Stegostoma tigrinum: one gene and its partner. The protein of the gene in region 1 interacts with the protein of each later gene in a biochemical or structural test. Links are inferred from orthologs where the notes say so. Each region holds a gene or a part of one and is shown on either strand. Other genes may lie near its edges.

What was found. The genes of interacting proteins can lie anywhere in the genome.
Region 2: the proteins of smurf2 (region 1) and smad1 form a complex in vitro, tested with the Homo sapiens proteins (2 studies listed by BioGRID and IntAct, with this or other methods). The link is inferred for Stegostoma tigrinum from reciprocal best matches to the Homo sapiens genes SMURF2 and SMAD1.

What each region holds. Positions count from the first base shown.
Region 1 is NC_081375.1:10,562,518-10,570,589, forward strand, and holds the start of smurf2 (E3 ubiquitin-protein ligase SMURF2), read left to right. Parts: upstream 1-4,966; 5' UTR 4,967-5,749; coding exon 5,750-5,801; intron 5,802-8,072. UniProt on the Homo sapiens protein: E3 ubiquitin-protein ligase which accepts ubiquitin from an E2 ubiquitin-conjugating enzyme in the form of a thioester and then directly transfers the ubiquitin to targeted substrates.
Region 2 is NC_081354.1:46,819,917-46,827,079, reverse strand, and holds the start of smad1 (mothers against decapentaplegic homolog 1), read left to right. Parts: upstream 1-4,083; 5' UTR 4,084-4,184; intron 4,185-7,163. UniProt on the Homo sapiens protein: Transcriptional modulator that plays a role in various cellular processes, including embryonic development, cell differentiation, and tissue homeostasis.

The DNA.
Region 1 (8,072 bases):
ATCACCAGCATTTGTTATTTTCAATACTGAATGAATATTGTGTTTCCCCTAATAGAAGTGGTTATAGTTACAGAAGCAGCCTTGATCAACATTTGTTATGGTTCTTTTGACTGTAAACTTAGCAATAACAGAAAGCCAGTAATAGCTTTTCATTCTGGCCTTGGTCACAGCTATAAAGCGAACCCTGAAAAAGCAGCAAAATGTACATTTCAGAATGCAGCTTTTATATTCAGCATGCTAATGTCAGCCAAAATGTAGGCTGCTTTAATATCAGCAGGAGGCGCTAATGGATTATTCGTCCATTTCAAGCATTCCTCCTAGAATAATTCTTATTCAGAAAAGGAAATGAGCAATAATTAAAACAGAATGACTTTTGCTTCTAAACAGCCTTATAAAGATCAATGAGAAATTTGTGTAGCACTGTCACATGCATTGTTTAGTTGAACAAGAAGCGAGATTTCAAAGTAAAGTTATTCAGTGCTGATGACAATAGATAGGTTTTCTGACACAGACATCACCAGATATCTAAGATAATGGGAACTGCAGATGCTGGAGAATTCCAAGATAATAAAATGTGAGGCTGGATGAACACAGCAGGCCAAGCAGCATCTCAGGAGCACTCCTGAGATGCTGCTTGGCCTGCTGTGTTCATCCAGCCTCACATTTTATTATCACCAGATATCTATGTGCGTTGCAGAAGACAAAAAGTATGGTCAGCAATAGAGGGTTTTAAAAGGGGCTTGATTTACAAAATATGCACTAGAAGTTAACACTATCTTTAAATAGGATTCACAAAATCTGACGATTTAATAATCTTCTTAAATGCTACTTGATTATTCATATTGTTAGTTTCATATTTATCCATCAGTATTGTTAATGTGATGTGAATACAGTGCATGAGCTGTTTGAAAGTTGTTTGCTTGAGCCAGCTAGAACAAATAGAAACAAGTTAGTTAGAACTTTAAATTTGACTTCAAAAGAAATCAGTGGTGTTCCTCAATATTCATGGACAATTAGTTTCTGAAAGTGCTACTGAAATGTTTTGAATTTTCCTCCTAAATTATGTGATTAGATGATGTTACCAGCTGATGAGGATAGATGACTGTTTGTATGTTGTGATGTGAAAATAACTCTCAGCTCTTCCTTCAATACTTCAGCAAGTGATTCAAATCAATTTCCTCAAAATGCTGATAATTGCTTTAAATACAAATTTTAGTAAACAAGTTTTGTTGCTTTGAACAGCATTCTTATGTTTCAATAAACAGTGTGTTATGACTCACTGCTGTATGAACTATTTAAAAAATTAGTCTACATTGAATTTCGCATAACTTCCTTGTTCTTGTACACTCTGCTTCTATTTACAAAGACAAAGGATTCTATATCCTGAGAAAAAATACAAAATGGAAAAAATATATAATGACAGTAAAACAAAAATTCCAGAAAAAATATTAACCCCAGTAAATCTATTTTATTATCTGGATGTAGACCAGATTTGTGGCCTTTGCACATCCCCATCAGGGAAAAAATCTGTCTCGCTTTTTTGATTAGTCATGGTGATACTTTACTGGAAAAACGCGCTTAAACTTCTTTACAATTTAAAATTATTCTGCTGTCATGCATAGTTTAAAATGTTAAAAAAACTAATTGTATCAATCATTACATCATTTTCTATGCATAAGACATTTTTGTTCGTTTTTGTATTCCACCCACCCTCTAAAGGGAAGGAGAGAATTATTCCAGTACGAAATGATCATACTGCCACACTCACCCTCATTCTTTAATATCCATGTATCTCGGCATATGGAAATTATTATTTATTTGTAGTATATATTTTATATGCTATATAACTGGTTGTTTTGAATTAAAAAAATGTTATGCATAGTGTTTGCCACTTTCTATAAAGACATTTAAAAATATAAAACTGATTCAGTTTAAAAATTACATTCTGACTATAACTTGGGGTGCTACAGCAAGTATTAATTAACAAAATTAATTGGTGTGGTACTATGAATCATACATGCAGCTTGATTCGGGTAGCACTCATATCTCTAGGTTAAAGATCATGAATTAATATGGCACTCCAGAATCTGAGCACAAAATTTAGACTGAAACATCAGTGTAGAAATGCTGGGGCTGGTGTCTTTCAGACAAATTGTCAAACTAAGGCCTTGTAAACTAAGTGTGTGAGCTCACATGGATAAAGAAGATCCATAGAACCAATAAGCGTAAAGATTACTTTCTCCTGGTATCAAAATAATAGTTATCTCTTAACTGAGCACCACCAAGAAAGATTTTACTTTTTCTCCCTGCTGTTTATAAGAACACATGACAAAACAGAAAAGGAAAGATACTCTGGTTCATCTGACTTGTCCTGCATATTTATAATATCTTGTGCATTTGTTTTCATTCTTTCATGAGCTGTGGGTGTTACTGGCTGGGCCAATATCCACCATTCCTAAATTGCTTAAGAAAGCACTCATGAGCTGCCTTCTTAAAATGCTGCAGTCCATGGGATGAATACACCAACAGTGTTGTGAGGAAGGAGGTTCCAGGATTTCGACCTAGCGACGATGAAGGAATGGCAATATAGTTTCAAGCCAGGGTGGTGTATGGCTTGGAGGGGATCTTGCAGATGGGTGTTTCTGCTAATGCATCTACTGCCCTTGTCCTACTAGATGGTAAAAATTTACATTACCATATATACATTCTTACTCTACCTGAAACCATTCAATCTCCAGGGAATCATTAAAAATCTAAACCAACGTTGGAGGAAGAAAAGTTTAGGAATTCCTTTCTGACCCTCTTTGGCAATCACAACTGGTCAAGTGTGATGATGCTATGGCTTTAACAGGCATATTTTGCCCTGTTACTTTTTATGAAGATAGGTTGAGACAGAGGTAATAAGTGGTCTGCTCAAAGCCAATAAAGTAAACAGCTTGTGAGGCCCTGTTTTTTTTAAAGTTTGGAGCAATAGAAGCAGCCTGAATAAATGGGGTCATGCTCCCACAGAACTAGGATTTTTAGTTTTAGATTTCTGCAGTTGCTGGGATCTTGAGGTTGGATGCAGAAGTTTTTATTTCTTTCTGTTATTGCTAAAAGCTGGGGTTCTATTCCTGCTGCTAGAGTTGCAAGTAAGGGTATTGGCATCTTCTTAATATATTTTGAGGTGGTTTGGTCGGGTCAATAACATGAAAATGTCATTCAATCCTCCAATTTCCTGCAATACCTACCTTTCTTCAAAGGTGACATCTGTCCTAGCTGGAAACAGTTCTAATTGTCATGAAGTATTCAATTAATTGCCACTGTATGCACAGTCCATCATTTTCTGAGAAGAAGACCGACATCTTGACATTTAACACAGATCTGGTCCTCTACAATTTAAAATTTGGTTCTTTGGTCCTTGATTACATACTAAATTGCAACAAATTGTCTACTCAAGCACAACTTTCCCCGCATCATCATCATAATCACCTAAAACTTGATCAGATCACCCACACCTATCCTTCTCTGAAGTGCATGGTCTCAGATCTTTTAATCTATCCTGATAACTAAGATGTTTCCAATTGTGAATTAATCTTGCATTCCTCCTCTGCATCTTTTCCATATCTCAATATTACCTATCTGTGAGGCAATCAAAACTAGGCACGAAATTCTAACTGAAGCCACACTAAGGTCATTTACAGGTACAAAATAATATGCTTAGACTTACTGTCAATTGTGTTTTATACACTATGATGATCAAATCTTTTTCTTCCACCATTTCTGTTAATGCCTTTCCTTGAGGTGTATATGTATGCTTAGCAGCTACTGTATGCATAGGCTTAAGATTGCACTTTTCCAAGTTAAACATAACCTGGCAGTTTAAAAGCCCACATTTTGCAATTCATCCATTCAGCCTTATGCTGACATATCAATATTTGTCCAAAATCCAAATACACTACATCTCTTGGTACCCCTCTATCCACCCTACTTATTACATCCTCAAGGAACTCTAACAAAATTGTTAGACATGACTTTTCCTTCATAGACACAGTTGACTCAGCTTGATCGTACCATGATTTTCAAAAACCCCTGCTAAAACTTGCTTGATATCAGATTCCAGCATCTTCTCAAAGACAGATGTTAGGCTAAATGGCCTATATATACACACACCAGCTTTACACATCCATCCTTTCTTGAACATGGACATTCTATTTGTGATTTTGCAATTCACTGGGGCCTTTCCATAATCTACAGAATTCTGAAAATGTACAATCAATGCAAACCCTATTTCTGCAGCCAATTCTTTTAAGACCCTTTCATGCAAGCTATTAGCTCCAGAGCACTTGTCACCTTTTAGTCCCATGAGTTTCGCGAGAACATTTTTTAAAGTGATGATTGCTTCAACGTGCCCTTGAATTTCTACTAATCTTGCGAAGTTTTTACTGACTTTCACTGTGAAAAAACCGACAAAATATTCAGTCCAAATCATAGTTGTGAGACAGTAAATAGGAAAAATTCTTTCCAGTTGCAGAATGATCGGCAGCTCGAGGACACAGAATTAAGGTGACTGTCAAAAATAACTTGAATTGACAAGAGGTAACAGCGACGTTGCAGTGCACTGCCTGAAAGGTAGGTTCAGTAGTAACATTCAAAAGAGAATTGGCTTGCGGAGGTTGGGGACTGTGGGGTTAACAGTTATGGGGAAAGAACAGGAGAATGTGATTAATTAGGTAACTGTACAAAAGAGGCAGCACGAGAGCGATGGGACGAATGGGCTTTTTCTATGCTGTATCATTCAATGACTGGCTCATTTCATTTCAATCGTGGATTTCATATTGATAGACCATGCATTTCGTAAACTCAATAATCCGAAGTCAAGCTCTGACAAATTTACAGGCATAGCTCGACCACATTTAGTCGCATTTTTAGTAACAGTGAAGTTTCCTTGGTGCTATTTCTCGACTGCCTTGTTCCCGAGACCCGAGCAGGAGGAGCTGCAGACTGTCAAGAGGGAGGGAGCACCAGGGTGATGTCAGCAAGAACTGTGTTCTGGCTCTCAGTTGAGAAGCCCTGTAGAGAGAGGACTTCGACCAAAGAAGCGAAACAAGAGAAGAAAGCAGCGACTTCAGCCTTAAAAAAAGAAAAAAAGTATCACTGACAACTTTTTGCTGCTGGAAAATAACCCTCAACCTCTCCTCTCGTCGTTTTGAGCGTGGATTTTCTGTGGGTGGAAATACTCTCAAAAATAAGGAAGAAATCAGAGCAACAACGAATCGACTGGATTCGAGCCTTCGACAAAATAACAACAATATACCTCTACAGAAGATCAATCCTGAGCTGTATTCGAAGATGGGAAGCGAGACACAGAGAAAGGGGGGAGTCTGGTTGCACTGATCGAGGCACAGAGACGGTCTGAGTAAGGGAAGAGAGACAGAAAAATCTAGAAGAAAAGTGAAAAATTGATTTTTTTTCCGGCGTATTGAAGGAGGGGAGTTGTTTTCTTTTTAAAAATTTCCTGAGGTAAATAATGTTTGTTTTTTTTATTTTGATCGAGTTTTTTTTGGTCGTCCGTTGGTGAGTGTGGGCTATGCACATCCGGGCCACCGGGCTGGAGGAGGCCATCATTGTTCGCTCGGGGAAAGGGGGGAAAAGCGGCGGCGGCCGCTGGCGAACGGGAGATACCATCACCATTAGCAACAGCAGCAGCCGGAATTAAACCTCATTTAAAAAATATAAACATACAAATAAAACATAAACGCTCGGGAACATGTCTAATCAAGGAGCCAGGAGGAATGGGCCAGTAAAGTTACGTCTAACAGGTAAGAAGCTGTGAATTGCACACGCATATGTAATATACACTGTGCGTTATGAAGACCTGGAGCTTTAAATGGATCCTTTCTTTTTCTCTTTTTAAATGATTTGTGAATGGAAAGATTGTTTTGTTTTTTTTCTAGTAGTTTCCTTCTCTTTGTCCCCACCCCCAATCGTGAGTGGCCAAATAAGTCATGTCATTTGCACACATTTTCTTTACAAAAGAGTGGTTGAACTTGAATGAGTTTTTTCCTGACTGGCAGATTTTGCTTTTGAATAATTTTTTTCTTATTCCCTGTATGTGGGCTTGGGGAGAAGGGTTGTGTCTTCGGATGATTTTATAACCAGGAAATTCCTGTTTCTGTTTGGAGGTTTCGGTGCTTGTAATACGTGTGAGGCCTGGCAAAGTAAACTCTTGGTTGTTGAGGTTATTCCTATGACGTGGGGGGGGGGGCGTGTGGATTCGAAACAATCTTTCTGCTTCTACCAACTCCTCTCTGATTTGCATACGGGCATGTCTGTAATATGAAAATATGTAAGATCAAGAAGACTTACGAGTTGCTGCATTTTATTAATCCAATTGTATTTATGTTCCCACCCGTCCAAAGAAGTGCAACAGCCAACTTGGCAACGGTTCAAAAGTTTAGTTTTGTTGCCTTGTGCTTATTCTGCACTATATTTATATTTTTATTTTATCTCCATGGACTTCACAATGAAAAGATGATTACGTTATTTAGAACTGGAGCTTAGTTTCTGGAAAGTTTATGAGAAAACAGCCACCCTTCAAATTGTGGCATTTTACATTAAGAACAGGTTTATTCAAAATAGGAAATGATATCTAAAATGTATTTTTTAGAAAAGGCATATTGTGAACATTATACTTGGACATCTTAACATTTTCATTAGCTGACGTTTTGCCTGTCTGCTTGGCTCAGAAATGATGTACTCACCCCTTACTAAGAAGGTTGTGGATTAAAAGTCCATTGCTTATTTTTGCCTATCATTCAGTACAGTAGAGGAGTCGTGATAGCAAGAGCTGCTGGCTGTAGGAAGAGATATTAAATCTAAGGTCTTGCATGACAGTTGGGTTGTTTTAAAAGATCCCTAGATATCATTTTGAAGAGCAGGGAGTATGTATTTTTTGCCAACGGTCTGACTCAATGACCACTCAAAAAGCATATAGTCTGCTCTTTAATCTTCTGTTTGTGGGATTGTGCTGCACTAACAACATAATTGCACCTCCAAAAAAAACTTCACATTCTATGGAATCTTGAAATGTTGTAAAGACATAAAAATGCTTCATTTTAGAAATAACATCAATGTTGTTGTGTTGGGAAGTGTAATAGCAAAAACAATGCTGTAAATATTCATCAGGCCAGAAACAAGAGTTAAGGTTTCAGATTGATGACCTTACACCATTTCTAATGAATTAGCATCTGTCTGAAATATTAACCCTGTTTCTTAGTCTACAGATGCTGCTTGCCATTCTGAGGCTTAATGGAATTTTGTTTTTGTTTTTAATTTCAGATTTCCAACATTTTTCAGAATTGCACACTCAGTTACTGTTATCAGTGGTGTTGGTTCAAGAATAAATGGTGGTTGGGATGCCTGCAGAGCTAGGCTGTTCAGATTGGAGTAAAGGCACATGACATCTTGAGTTAACTCCTGAGCCAAAAGATAGTGGTAATACTAATCCAGCATGAGAATATGTCCTTAGATCTTTTTGAGTGGGGCTAGAATCCATGCTCAAACAAGAATGACTGAACTATGTACTGTTGAAAAGAATTACAGACATGAGAAGTAAAGTGATAAATGCCTGAAAATGCATGCATAATTTTGGTTGAAGTATGTTTATATAAATGATTTGAATGAGAATTTGAGAAATGATTAGTAAATTTGCAGTTGACACCAAAATTGGTGGTATAGTCAACAGTGAAGGAGGTTATCTCAGATTATAAAGAGATCTTGATCAGTTGAACCATTGGGTTGAGGAGTGGCAGATGAAATGTATTTTGGATAAATGTGAGATGTTGCATTTTGATTAAGCAAATAAGGGCAGAACTTCTACAGTTAATGGTAGGACCCTGAGTAGTGTTGTAAAACAAAGAGACCTTGGGGTTCAGTTATATAATTCTTTGAAATTTGCGTCACATGTAGACAGGGTCATTAAGATGTTTAGCGAGCTTGCCTTCATTGGTTCAGACCTCTGAGTATAGGAGTTGGGAAGTCATTGTTGAGGTTGTACAGGAAGTTGGCAAGGCCTCTTCTGGAGTACTATG
Region 2 (7,163 bases), on another chromosome or scaffold:
GCAATGTGCTTTAATGACTACTGCCTGGTGGCTTTGACATCAATGATCATGAAGTGCTTCGAAAGGCTGGTCATGGCCCACATTAACTCCAGTCTCCCAGCCTGCCTTGATCCACCACAATTTGCCTACTGACATAACTGGTCCACAGATGATGCCATATCCCTAGCCCTGCACTCATCCCCAGAACATTTGGACATCAAAGACACCCAACTCAGACTGCTACTCATTGACTACAGCTCCACCTTCAATGCCACTATCCCCTCCAGACTGATCACAAAGCTCCATGACATTGATATCAGCTCTGCCCTCTGCAACTGGATCCTCAGCTTTCTGACTCACAGCCCACAATCAGTGAAGATAGGAAACTGCACCACCTCCGCAATAACACTCAACACTGGAGCCCTCCAAGGATGCATCGTCAGACCCCTACTGTACTCCCTTTTTACCTATGACTGTGTTGCTAAATTCCAAATGAATGCCATCTATAAGTTCGCTGACAACATCACCGTAGTGGGATGGGTATCGAAAACACGAAAACAATGAGACAAACTACAGAAAGGAGATAGAAAGCTTGATGACGCGATGCAATGAAAAAAAATCAGTCTCTCAATGTTGGCTAAACTAAAGAACTGATCATTGATTTCAGGAAGAATGGAGAACACACCCCATATACATCAATGAAACTAAAGATGAGAGGGTGAAGAGCATTAAGTTCCTTGGAGTTACGATAGCCAACGCCCTGTCCTGTACTTGCTACATAGATGCAACAGTCAAGAAGGCACAACAATGCCTTGTCTGCCTCAGGCAGTTCAGGAAATTTGGCATGTCCATATGCTCCCTCACCAACTTCTACAGATGCAACATTGAAAGCTTACTGTCCGGGTGCATGAAGGGCTGGTATGGCAACTGTTCTACCCAGGGCCGTAAGAAACTACAGAAGGTGCTGTGCACAGCCCAGACCATCACAAAAGCCAACCTTCCATCCATGGACTCTATTTACATGGCTCGCAGCAGCGGAAAGGCTGCTAACATCATCAAAGACCCATTGCACCTCAGTAATGATTTCCATGAACTCTTCAGTCAGGCAGAAGATACTGAAGCCTAAATTCACGCACGAGCAGGTTCAGGAACAGCCTCTTCCCCACCATTTTCAGACTGGTGAATGGACTGTCTAGCCACAAATAATGTTGATCTTGCTAATGTTGATCTCACCTAGTGCACGCTCTGTGCAATGTAACCTGCATGCCTCTGTCTAAGTCTTTTTGATCTGTGCATCCTTTGTTTACTATGATCTGCCTGTACCACTTGAAAACAAAGCTTTCTATTGTATTTTCGTACCAATGACAATCAATCAATCAATCAATCGTACAATAGTTGCTGAGTTAAGGATGTGGACACGGCAGCCAGTAAAGACAGCAAATGGTATGCTGTGCTTCATAGTGAAAGGAGTTCATGTGTAGGACCAAGGTTGTCTTGCTGCAATTATACAGGGCCTTAGCGAGACCACACTGGAATATTATGTGCAGTTTTTGTTCCCCTATCTGATGAAAGATGTTTTTACTAGTGAGTGCAGCCAAGTTTTACTTGACTGGTTCTTGAGATGCTGGGACTGATGCATGAAGAAAGGTTGAATAGGTTAGGATTATACTCGCTAGTGTTCAGAAAAATGAGGGGTGATCCACAGAAACTTTAAAAATTCTAACAAGACTAGACAAGGTGGTTGCAGCAAAGATGATTTTGATGGCTGGGGAGTCCAGAACCAGTGTCACATTCTAAGGATACAGGATAAACCATTTAGGACTGAGATGAGGATAAATTTCTTCACAGAAAGAGTGGTGAGACTATGGAATTTGCTAGCACAGAAAGCAGTCGAGGGAAAACATTGTATGATTTCAAGAAAATATAGTACTTGGGGCTAAAAGATGTGGGGTTAAAGCAGGAACAGTTTATTGAGTTGGACGATCAGCCATGATCAGAATGAATGGCAAAGCTGGCTCGCAGGGCCAATTGGCCTACTCCTGCTCCTATTTTCTATATTTCTTTGTAGGCCACTTCTACACTCTCTCCAATGAGTTCACATTCTTGTTATAGCATGTCTCTCAGAACTGTACACAATATTCCAACTGAGATCTAAGAAGAGTCTTATACAAGTCCAACCTCACCTCCTGGCTCTTCTACTTTATGCCTCTGTTAATAAAGCTGAGAATACTTCATGCTTTATTAACTGCTTTCTTGCCACCTTCAATAATCTGCACGCATGTACACCCAGGATCTTCTGCTCCTACACACCATGTAGACATGATCCCCCCTCTTTTAGATCTTCTTCCTGCTAAAATACATCATACTTCTTAACATTGAAACTCATCTGTCACCTCCCTCCCTCTCAACCCTGCCTCCTTGACCTGACACAACCTGTCCAATCGTCTCTCCCACCTCACTGACCTATCCCCACCACTGCCTACCTGCACTCACCAATCACCATTCCGCCTACCTCTCCCAGCCTCACCCCTCCTCCCTCTGTTTATTTCAGCTCCCTTCCTCTTTCTCCATTTGAGAAGAAGGGTGCTGACCGGAAACGTCAGCTTTCCTCTTCCTGTGATAGTGCCTGGCTTGCTGTGCTCCTCCAGCTCCACGCTGTGTTATCTCTGACTCCAGCACTGGCAGTTCTTACTATTTCTAAAGTAAATGGTAGTTATCTTTTCCCTAGGATGGGGTATTTCAAGCCTGGGGACATATTTTTACGGTGAGAGGAGAGAGTTTTGGAAAAAGACGAGGCAAAGTTTTTACACAGAGGGTGGTTCGTGTGCAGAATGAATGTCCCGAGGAAGTAGTGGATGCGAGTACAATTAAAGCACTTAAAAGACATGAGGATAGATACATGAATAGAAAGGGTTTGGAGGGAAATGGGCCAGGAACAGGCAGGCGGGACCAGTTTAGTGTTTGGGTTGGACTGAAGGGTCTGTTTCCTCGCTGTATAACTACGATCATCAATGGTATTACCACTATAGAACCTTTCTGCTACTTCTTCAAAAAAACTCCAGAATGAAGATTATTTCCCCTTTCAAAATCCATGCTGACCCTTGTTAATCAATCCACCTTTTTTGTTAATATTAATTCTATCCCGAATAAGTATTCATCTGATTGTAATTGTTCACCATGGAATTTTACTATGTGCGACTGTATTTAGCTGCTTAAGGTGCAGATCAAAAGCAATCCATTGTATAGCACGTTTGTTCTGAGGCTGTAAACCAATGCCACAGATATGTAAATTCTTTCTTTTCCATGCTTCTCTTTTAATCTTTACCAAACATTCTTTTGTTATTTACAATCCTGATTTTTTTTGGCTTTTATTCCTAAGAACTGCATGAGGATTTCAACGGTGAGACGCAACATATTTCTTCAGCTTTAAAAATGCAAATAAGTTAAATGAAATTGTAGATAAATTACTGACGAAACAACAATTGCATTACAAATCAAATTTGTTTCGAGGTTTTTTAATGCAAGATAACTCGGGGAATCATTTTCATTGGAGTCTGTAGAAATGCTTACATCACTGGTTCAAACTGGGACTGATTTGCTTTAATAATGCTTTTCATACTTATAAGTTACAGGATCTTAACGTGAATTAGAACAGATCTGCTTTTAAAGTTCAGAATGGAAGGGACTCTAGTAATGATTAAAAAAAACTCGAAAGAACTGCGGATGCTGGAAATCAAAAACAAGCACAAATTGCTGTCAAGAGAAAGCCGAGTTAACGTTTCGGGTCCAGCGACCTTCAGTACGAGTCTTCTGATAATATTTGTATATACAATGAAGATTCAATTCTTCGAGAAATGAAGAGAAAATTAAATGAAAATAGATCAAATGAAATCGCGATACTCAAAAAAGTAAAATAAGGAGCCGGTATAAATGATTACTTAATAAACTTAAAACAAACATGAATAAGACTAGAGGAAGAAAACAATGCGTTGTTTGAATGAAAGCTGCCTAGTGCGTTTAAGAGTTGAACAGCTTCGCTCTTGTTGGAAGTAGTTGGGAAAGTAGTGCGGCTGGTCGGCGAGTTAATCCATAGCGCGGTGAGCAGTCGCAGTCTGCCTGACGCCGGAGCTTTGACTGTGTTGCGGTTGCTGGAAGTGCTGCCGATGGAGCGTGAAGGAGAGGGAGGCTATTTGGTTGGCGTTCAGGTAAGACAGTACCACAAGTTATTCTTAATTGTTTAATTCCTCTTCGTTGTTCGTACACTTTGCAGCAGTATGGAGCAGATGCACTTTTAAAGGAGGGGAAGTTATTGCCTTTATTCCCACACCTCCCCTTAGAAGTACTTTTAGCACAACATGGCGTCACCGGGAAAACGGGGAGAAAGTGGAGCCGGTCCGTTCGGACCCCGACAGTAACGTACATTAACGACCGGGAAAGTTTGCTCAAGTTTTTGTTGTGGGAGCCTCCATTCTGAGCTGTAAACTCGACTCGGCGAGTCTTTCTTCTGAGGGACGGGGTTGACTTAAACTGCAGCGCCGTGTGATCCGCTGCGAAAGATTTCTCTTTTTATAAATGGAATTTAATCGAGAGGATGCGACTGATCTTTCTTTCCTTCGCAGCCTCGTCCGGTGATGGAATAACGTTCCTCACTCCAGTTTCCACCGAGGGGAAGATGTTTTAATAACCTTTCTGAGCGTACACCCCAGACGCTGTTGGGTTCACGAATCTTTAAGAATCTTGGACCAATGCTTACGTTTTATTTTTCTGTGTTGTCATAGTTGATTAAGAGTTTGTGGAAGTGATTTATTTTTATCTGAGTCTTGTGTAAATCTTTTGAAACTAGCTCCTCCATCTTCCCGGCTCCTCGATTTCCATTTCATGGATCATCACTGGGTGAACTGAGGAAGGTCTCAAATGTGCCACGTTTTTTCCCGTATTAAAATAAGAATTTTGACCGTAGCCTCTTTGCAAAAAAAGAGAAACGCTGAAATTAAAGTTGTACGAATACTTGCATTGAAAAAGGAAGTTTCAGTATAAATTATTATGCCATATAGGAAGTGTTTGATATTTAAGTACTTTGGTTTGTCAAAATACTAGTTCAGAAAATATCTGAAGTAACTGCTTTTTGCCGTTCTATAGAAGAATCGTTAATATTTGCTTTGGTATAAAGAAGATATCTTCTGAAGTTAGCTTGCCAAGAGCTTTTGCCCTGAATCAGTTTCATCTGTCCTGTTTATTAATCTGTTGTAGATGGATGCCACAGGTACTTTTATACATGACTGAAATGCCCTGTGTGGATCAGCATATTTTGATTGTGTGATCTTTGTGCAGTATATTTCTTTTATCTGTGCTTGAGATTTTCTTTCTTCTCTGTGCTGATGCATTATCTGCCATGCATCCTTCTTGGCATTTTGACAAGAATCAGTTCAAGGCAGGGATTGAGTTACTGAAAGGATAAAAAATTTGTCCTTGTGTGGATTTTTAAAAAACTTCAGTCACTTTTCATCACCTTCGCAAACTTTTCAGCAAACTTCTTAGTTTTCATGCTGCGACCAAGCTTTTGGGAATGCCCTGAACCTTTGATTTTAATGTTAATTTTAAAAAAAATTAGAACTTTTTTTTCAGTTATGTCAGGCCTTTGATCTGTATCTGAAACTAGATTTAATGTGGCAGTTGGTTATTATTTGTTCAAAAAAACCAAGATCCAAATTCAGAACAGAAATCAGAGTTTTCACTTTGCAGAATATATTAATATGTTCTGCATTTACTTTTTAATTTCAAAATCAGCATTTGTTTTTCAAGAATATTTGAGATTTAAATGTGAACTGAAATTGCCTTTTCAATAGCTAATACAGGGAAAACAAGAAAAACTCAGCATTGCAAGCATTATTCACCTTATGCATATCATACAACTTTGTAAATTATTTCTAAAGGTGTTTTCCAAGCCTGAGGCCTCAGTTACAAGGAAGAATTAAGTTCTGTTCCCTTTATGCTAAATGCAAATATCATTACACATTCTGACTGCCCTTGTGTCTCCATTTTTGTGTTGTATATCACACAGCTGGAAATAGTACAAGTTAGTCTGTAGCTTTTGTAGAACAAAGGAACCAGATAGTCTAGGTGGGAAATTGAAAGAAATTACTCAAATAAGGCAATTACTATTATATCTTTTTCCTTATCTATATGATGCTACTTAAATGTTGGAAAAGCTCTCTCAGGGAGCCCAGGTTCAAGTCCCACTTCCCCTGAAGTGTGTATAATATCGCTGAACAGGTTGATCTAAAAAAAAGTTGGGAAACTTTCACCAAGACAAACTGAGCCAAATGTTCACCAGTTACATTACCTGCATGATTAAATGAACAGAATAGAATAGCCTTTTTTTGTCACGTATAAACTTTTCACCATACTCATTGACTATACGTTACCTATGACAGTGCCAGCTTAGGTACAAAAGAACCTTGGCACGATTCCTTTAGTTACAAGATTTACACATACAGAAATAAAAGTTCAGTACAGCAAACCATGCTGGCACCTAGCTTCCAGTCCACATTGAACACCGGCTCCGCATTATGCCAGCAAAATACCATGCTGACAGGTTGCTGCGCCAGGGTGGGAGGCCAGGGTTCATTGCTGGAGGATAAGAGTTGAAGAGGGGAATAAAGAGCAGAAAAGCTTGGAGTAAGAAAAGAAGAACAGGCAGAGTGGACAAGCTCCTGCTGGAGCATCCTACTCCGTCACCATCTTGCACAAGGAAGTTGATTTAAATTTTAACAAACTTATTTTACTTCTCATCATCATTACTTGAAATGAAAGCATCCTCCAGTTCTGTACCATGTATGCTCCAACCTGTCATGTACAATGCTGTTGTATTTTTAAATTTCTGAATTACAGTTTCTGGAGGAAACACTGCTGTCCTTTTAAGCATAATTGTCAGCAAGATTTTAGTATGATTTGGAAGTTGAGTAAGATTGAAAATGTTGAATCAAGAATCCAGTCTTAATTCATCAGTGGTTAATAGGCAGTTTCCCTTGCTGAACAGTATGGTCAGCTTAGTCTTTATAACTGTGATACTGATGACCTATCAGTGTAGAAGTGGCAGTAACAACAATGAAATTTAGAATCAGGAGTGACAATTGAAATCTTATTTCTATCAGATCTTAGTTATTAGATAATGCAATGCTGGC